2 linked regions of the Drosophila melanogaster genome follow. The protein of the gene in region 1 interacts with the protein of each later gene in a pairwise test. Each region holds a gene or a part of one and is shown in the gene's direction. Other genes may lie near its edges.

The links.
Region 2: the proteins of aly (region 1) and wuc interact in a two-hybrid assay, tested with the Drosophila melanogaster proteins (one study listed by BioGRID).

Annotation. Positions count from the first base shown.
Region 1 is NT_037436.4:3,023,598-3,028,445, reverse strand, and holds aly (always early), read left to right. Parts: upstream 1-1,924; 5' UTR 1,925-2,021; coding exon 2,022-2,122; intron 2,123-2,185; coding exon 2,186-2,461; intron 2,462-2,524; coding exon 2,525-3,854; 3' UTR 3,855-4,317; downstream 4,318-4,848.
Region 2 is NT_033778.4:12,698,121-12,701,353, forward strand, and holds wuc (Wake-up-call), read left to right. Parts: upstream 1-1,960; 5' UTR 1,961-2,092; exon of another isoform or gene 2,093-2,176; 5' UTR 2,177-2,183; coding exon 2,184-2,442; intron 2,443-2,498; coding exon 2,499-2,650; 3' UTR 2,651-2,731; downstream 2,732-3,233.

The DNA of each region.
Region 1 (4,848 bases):
CAGCTCCAACCCATGTGGCCCCCCAACTGGGAGCTGGCGATACAAACTGCTTCAATTTTAATGTCCTCAAACTGTCATAAACTGTAAATGCACAGTAAAAGCCATGAGTATAAGGCGGGCAAGCTGCGACAGATTCTGTCGTGTAGATGGCCAAGAAGCTAAAGCTGTCAGCTCAAGAGTTTAAGTTCGACAAGCTGGTGAAACTATTGTATCTTACACTGAAGTCCGATTTTCACTTAAATATTATATGTACTTCGTTTATTTAAACCTAATATAAAAGTGGGAAATTAATTGCCCCACTAAGTGTTAATCCTTTTCATACTAACGCTGTATACCTTTTGACACCTTCATGGTTGACTTCTGATTCACATACGCCCATTTAAAACACCCCTCACTCTTTGAACTCGATTTTTTAGGTTCACTGAGCAAACCTTTTTTTTTAACACGCTTGCGTGTGCCGTTCAACATTTAGCCAGTTTTTTGGGCCAGTGCAAAGACGACCCGCAGGCTGAAAGCCAACATTCGCTATACAGGGTACAATATAGCCGCATGAGAATACCCATTCATATGTATATGTATGTATGTATGAATGAAGTCGTGCACATGAGTAACCCGTTGGCACGACCTATCATCGCCCATTCCGCTGGCTAAGGCCTCCTGGCTGGGCGATGGGCGGTGGGTGGTAGGTGGGCGTGGCACGTGTCGCCTGCAGCTTTCATTAGTTCAATGTCAATGTTTTGTTTTGTGATCCTGGAACACAAAAACTGAAGAACATGGGAACCATCCAGCTGTCTGCCTTGGGTTTTTAATTTTAAGCGCATGTTGCTGGCCTCCAGCCAGCCACCTGCATCACCTTTGCCTGTCTGCTGATTAAGTGAGTACAAGCTGCAGGTGTCCTGCATTAGGACATCCCGCTGCTCCTTCGAGGCGAAAGGAATGCAAATTAAAACTGGTATCTCTTCCTTCTGTCACCGATTCTGCGGAAGCTCTGTGTGCACAGCAAATTGAATGAGGTGCACAGACGGCAATCGATATCTCGATGGAGGAAGTAATCTTTAAGTTCCTTTAAGTCTGAATATCTGGATATCCAATTTCCTTTTTCCCAGAAAACGACCGCAACACATGTCGAAAGTTTGCGGGCACAAACCATTGGCATACACTGAGGTGTATTTATAATTTAATTTAATTTAATTTAGAATTCCGTTTTATATAATTAAATATGGAATTTGGATGTTAAAACAAGTGTGTGTTTCAGCGTTTCTAACTAAATACTCTCGGAATTTCATTAGCAATTCTCTTGTCTTTGTACCCTTTTTTTTTGCAGTGCACAGGCGTACTTACCACATCACAGACATGGAAATTAGGCCAAAAGTGCGCAGGCAATAATGCTGAAATCCATTTACGTAATTCGAAATCCGCTGGCGGCGTTTTAGCCACGACAACAGTCGTATGCAAACTTTATTAATTACGCGCCCCGATGACCATTACCACCATATCGACCATCTACTATTGACCATGAAGCCATTCTTGCAGTCCGGCGAAACTTTGGCTGTTTACTATTTTGCTAGGCTGAGTTTCGGCCACCCATTGTTGTGTTGCGCAATTGGCACCAGCTATGAAAATCACGCAAAAGTTTTTCAAATTAAAAATTCAACAGATTTCACTCGGAAAATCAACAACCCTGGAAAGCGGCATATAACAAAAAACAAAATCAATGAATTAAAAAAAAAAAATTACATAATTCGATTGAGCCTGCTGTTCATAAAAAATATTGATACTGTTTATTAAAATCCATGTAAGACTTTAGTTGTTTTAATTTAATTTATCAGAACTGTTACTTTAATAATGACTTTAGTTAGTACCTTAGAAAATATGGCAACCCTTGACAGAATTGAAATATGTTGGCAACCCAAGTTTGGAGGCCATATGTCAAATGGCGTGAGACTTTTAACAAAAAAAACATTTGGTTCAGAAAAACTTCGCTTAAATTACTAAAGAAAAACTTAGTAGACCATTTCAGCATGTCAGTTGATCCACTATCAATCGATAATTTCACAATCCAATCTGAGATCTGCGAAGAAAACGAGTTTCTGGCAAATATAGGATTACTATCTACGACAACGTAATATTTTCTCCTTTTCTATCAAATATTAAAATAGAACTATAACTGTGCTACCATCCGTAGAATGTCGCGTCATCAATTGAAGAAACCCAGAAAGATGGTGGCGGCATGGCAAAACGATGAATTATTTATTAAACGCCCAAATTTCGCCCCGCGTATTAGGATTTCCGAAAAGCCAGAGATCCAGGGAAGAATTAAACCAGGCGTGGCGTCCAAAAGGACTGAGAACTTTACAAAGAAGCCGTCCAATATATCTGTAGATGTTTCGGAGGACGAGAAAGCGAAGGAAAAGGAAAAGGAGCAGGATCCCTACTCCAATGACTTTATACTTGGCAAGAGGTTCGTAATGGGAAAGATTCCCTAGAGATCCCTTTAAGTGCTTAATTGTTCATTCTCCTTTAGATTGTACAATTTCCTGAAGTATCTCAGCTCTCACCGTTGGATTTGGTGTGAGTTCGTCGACTCCTTCCTGGACAAGCCGACCCTGACCATGGGCTACGATATGAAGCGCTTCATAGCGGAGTACTGTCCGCTCCTGCACTCTTGCTTCATGCCCCGCAGAGGATGGCAATTGGTACGTCGGAATATGGGGAAGGCGCGTCGATTTTCGGCCGCCTTCATCGAGCTGGAACGCGAAGAATTGGAGTGCCAGCGCCGCATTGTGCGCCAGTTGCAGCAGCATAAGTTCAATCCCAAGGAGAACGTGGGCTACTTGGACCAGATACCCAAGCGTGTGCCCCTGCCACTGGCCAAGGATGCCACGGTCAGCAGTTTTCTGCACGGAAACTCCTTTGAGGGCATCGTCAATGGCACTGTCATGGGCTACGATCCGCAGGACTACACCTATCTGGTTCGATTCAATAGAAACGACAATGCAGTCGTGCTCAGTCTTCCGGATTCACAGCTCTATTCCGACGAGGAAACCGCGGCGGTTCCCTTGTCAATTATTATGCGCGGCAACAAATCGTCCTCGGTTATTTCGGAGAGCGCCAAGACCGAGAAGTTCGGAAACAAGAGGTACACCAAGGAACTTCTGGAATCAGTGCTAAGGGTTGGTAAACTACAGGATGTCAAGCACAAGATCCTCATGGACTTGGCCCGAATGAATGAGGATTTCGAGACATTCAAGGAGATTGGTTCTTCAAGTAGTCGTCGCGATGCCAAGGTCACACCTCAGCGTGAGAATCTCCAGCGTCGCTATTCGGCCAGCATGATAACGCTGCACCGAGTGAACGCTGATATCCTTGAACCGCTGCGCATCCTGCACGACTACCTGGTCGAGTATCAGAAGCAGGACGAGGAGGAGGAGTCCAAAAGAGGTCGTCCCGCCAGCGAAGTCTATCAGAAGTGTCGCATGCAGGCGGAACAGGACCTCAAGACTGCCGCGGATGAGAAATTCCTGAAGATAGAATCGGATCGCACGCAGGAGTTCGTCCGCAACCTTCACACCATACTGTATCTCAATGGAAAGCTGGGGCGCGAGAACAGCTCCAATTTGGAGACGATTATCGCTGATCTGGTTACCCACATGGTGGACAACATCCAGCCATCGCTGGGCCGGAAATTAAAAGATGGCGTCGATTCCCTGGAGCCTCTGCGTCAGCAGGTGGTGCAAATATTTAAAGACGTCAAAAAACCAGAGCGCTTCCAAATCACCCAGCAGGCTCCGATGCAAACCGAGGATGGTATCTACAACTTTGTGGTCGAGGCACAGCCGGATACTCCCAGCTAAACACACTACCTACTGGCCCTTTGGAATACTGAAATAAAGCCTCGCTCTTATTTATGGCTCAATTAGGAGGAGTGTCATGTGCATTGGGAGTTTGCCGGCAGAGGAGCTTAACGAAGTTTCTTGTGGCTGCTACCTTGTAGAGCTCTTTTGGTACTTACGCGAAGGGGTAGTTGGGGGGGGGGGGTACGTGGTTCTAGGATTTATTTCAAGTTTCCAGTGGCACGTTCCACAGGAAGTCAGCCGTAAAACAGTTGACAGATTGGCAACCAAATAAGTAATGCGTATGTGAACGAAAACTTTAAGGGGGCACTCAAAAAAGGATAATCACTGGGGAATGTTTGCTTTTTCTAAAGGGCCTGTAAATGTGTTACAACTTTGATGATAGAAAGTGTAGTTTATTAAATACTTAAAAATGATTAAGAAAAACTCTTACTATAACTCTCTAAGTACTAATAAACCCTGCAAAAAGGAGGTATGGAAATTTTCTCTTTTTTTGAGGCTAAATTTTGTGCAGCAATGTTGCATCCCCACATAAATCAGCATTTACGAGTAAAGTGTTTTCTATTTTTTAATTACTAGATGGATGCACTACGCTCGTAAATTGTGCGGGTGAGCCAGTTCCGCCGGGGAATTTGCCAACGCCCATGTGGCCGCCATAAAGACATCATTAATATGCCTCCGGATGCACTGCGTCGCTCTGTCCCCCGGGAGGAGAAACGATCGGCAAAGGAGCTGATGGCGTGTGTCCTGCGGGAATGGACTCTGGCCATTTTGCTCCCCCGGATGTGTCGTCGTCATCGACTAAGATGTGCGTATCCTCCACGGAATCCACCCGAGCGGGCGGCTCGTAAATATTTATAATACGTTGAAGCTGCAGGGGCGGCGAATCCGGCTATAAATTTATCGAGTGCAACATTTTTTCCACTATATGTTACAACTGTGGTAAAGACTCTGGTTGAGGATGCATTCAAAATTAAATGTTTTATTCGTATTC
Region 2 (3,233 bases), on another chromosome or scaffold:
CGCGGCAATCGCCGTTGAAGCAATGAAATTAGCGAACCGCAAACAAGACTTCAAATTACCCGCATTCATCCCGAATCAGATATTCGCACCAGGCTGTCAGATTTCTGCTGAGACGGGGAGTTGGGAAGGCGGGAGGTCGGTGCTAAAAAGTATATATGTATACAAGGTATGGATCGTATGGATCGTATCGATTGCCATCGACAGCCGTTCACAATGGATCAGCCAGTAAATCAGGCGAGAAAGGAAGGAAAGCCAGCGACTCGAGGCGAGGGGCACTTCAATGAGTAAGAAAGAAAGAGCAATTGCATTGGGGCAGACATCCGCATCTCCAACTCCAATTCCAACTGCATGTCCACACAAATGTATCTGTATCTCCGCATGGCACACTTCCAACTGTGGCGCATAATTAAATCGCAGCATAAATAAACATAAACACACATAAAGCTGTGATAAATTGGCCAGCGACGCAGCGGAAATGTGCGTTAATCCAATTAAATGGGCCATTTGCATGGCTGAATGCTGCGAGAATGTTGTTCATTAAAATTGCCAATATTTGGCATCAAATCCGAACCAAAGCGGTGCAGCTGCACTTTGGCAAAGGACCCATACCGATTTCAGGGGTCAATTCCGGATTTGGGACAATGTCCTGCCGCCAACTAATCGTCTAGTCTAGTCTGGGTTACTGTCTCTGTTTCTCTTTCTGGCCAACTTGTTTGTTTTGGGCCACTATTTTACTACTTTGCTTCTTTGTTTTGTTTGGGTTCTTTGGCCCCAGGCGGCTATCTTGTCACAGTGGTAACTGCGTCTTTTAAAGAGCACTGAGCAAAATAACTATAGACACTATAATAAAGACTGCTCTATTGTAAAATTGTTACCAATAATTGAGAAAACACTCAAGAACTCAATTTCGACCTTAAGAACATGCGAAAATGATGCAAAAGAAATAACTTTTTTTTTTGTAAATATATATAGATATAGAAGTCAGCACAACTTTGGAATGTTTTTTTTGTTTTGCATCATGTTAACATCCATTAGGCAGCGATTTGAACAAATCAAAGTCAGCAGCAGACATACTTCCAACCATTCCCCCCCCTGCGAGTGGCACGTGCCGCATGGATGATAACACGGGCTAACACAGGCCGAATCCTTGCAAATAAACTGCAGCGTAATGGGGCCCATTGTGCGGTGCAAACACTGTTTACACAGACGCCAGCCACCCTGGGGAAAACGCTTCTGGAGAGTCCTGGGGGTGGGGCGAACAGCGACCCCTTCAAAAGTTTAACTTGTTCAATTTGCATGAGTCGCGGACCCGGCTATAAACGATACTTTGCCCAAAAACTTTGGCCATAAAGCAGCTACAAAAGCAGACGGAATACACGGCTGGACAGGGGGAATAATGAGCACGCGTCCCTTTGTCACCATCAGGACATACATATACTCCATGTCCATGTCCTTCGGCTGCTAAGCCGCCACCGAAGCAAGCGGACACGTGCGACAAGGACAATGGAGGTAGTGAGTACAAAGAGGGGGCTTTAGGGGTTCAAGGACATTAAGATTTAAATATTATTGTTATGAAATGTATTAGTAAGTTCTTGAATCTTCTATCTTCCTCATATCATCATATTATTATTATTATTAATATCAATATATCAATTATTCACAATTATAATACTAAAAATCCCCTTTTAAATAATTTTGATCATACACCCCTGTAAAGAAAGTTGCTTGGGCTGAAGAGGTGATTCCTTTCTGGGGGATGGAAAACGCCTGCGATCGATTGTTTACAAGAAGCCGAGTCCTTTGAAAAACGCTTTCTAATGGCCGGTATTCAGTTCTTGCAGGGCTTCCCACATTGACCTTGGCTGCAGCCCTGGCAACTCCTGGAAATTTGCACATTACGTATTCCTTTTTTGAAGGTGGCAACCCTCCTGCGGTGACAATTAATTTTGTACAGCTCATTAGGCGTTGGAAAAACTTTCGCCAAGGGTGGATTTATATTCGGGATTTTAAACCTGTCATTCCAGCAAAAAGTGGTGTACGGAAGCTAATTTCTTGGGTCCCTTCTGTTTTGATATATTCTATTAGCAAGGTGGTAAGCTCAATTAGGCGATTTCACGCTGGCACAGCATTTCTTCAACAAACAACAAGGAAGCCTATTGAAAAGTTAATAATTTAGCGAAAATATGAAAAAAGTTACGAAGTCCATTAAGCGGGAAGGAAGTCCCAGCGATGAGGAGTACACTTTGGAGGAGGACCCAATCGAATTCGAGTTGGAAAAGATGGAAAGGGGCAGTTCTAATGGGGAAAGCGAAGAGGAAAGTCAGCGGGATCAAAAGCAAGCGGACTCCATCATCGACGATATGGTCGAGCAAAACGACCAGGAACAGGAGGCAGCCGGTGAACAGGATGTGGAAAGGGAGAACGACCTGCGCAAGATGTATGGTAAGTGGTTTCCCGAGGTGATAAATTCATATATATACAAACAAAACTTTCTCCAGAACTAAGTCTACTCCCGCCGGCGGCCATAGCTGCCCAGATCCAGCAAATGGAGAAGGAGATCTACGAGCTGAGTCAATGGGAAGCCAGGGAGCTCATCCGGAGCAAACACCTGCGCATCTTTGGCAACTGCCGTCGTCGCGCCAACAAGTGAAGAAGTGACAAATCTGCTTACAGAACACTGTATACTGTACTGTTGATGACTTTGATGGTATCAAATAAAGGGTCGTCAACGAAAGTGACTCCAACTCCATTCCGTTTCCCCGTCCAGTGGCAAAGCCACACATAGCTCCACATGGCCCAAGTGGCCAGATGGGCGAGTGTCGTGGGCAAAGTCCCATGAAAGCCGCTTACAGGGCTTAATTTCTGAAAATGGACATGCCATCGACATTCGCCCACGACATCGGCTCCATCTGAAGTCAAGTACAGTGGGACTTCTGTAGCTTGAACTTAAAAACCAAACATATTGCTAGGAGATAGAATAATATATCTACCAAATACTACACATTTTAATATTTTTATAAGTTTCAAATACACATCTGCATATCTGGATGTATTTGTAGATGTATATCAATTCAGTGTCTTCCTTTTGTCGAAGCTCGACTGTTGTTACTAGGAAATGCACATCGCATATGGAGGTGGAAGCAGTGCGTCTGGGATTGGGCATTAATCGTGCATTAGAGTCTAGAGTTCAGATGGCCGGAGCTGCGGCATCCGTTCCGACGGGCTTCCTGTGC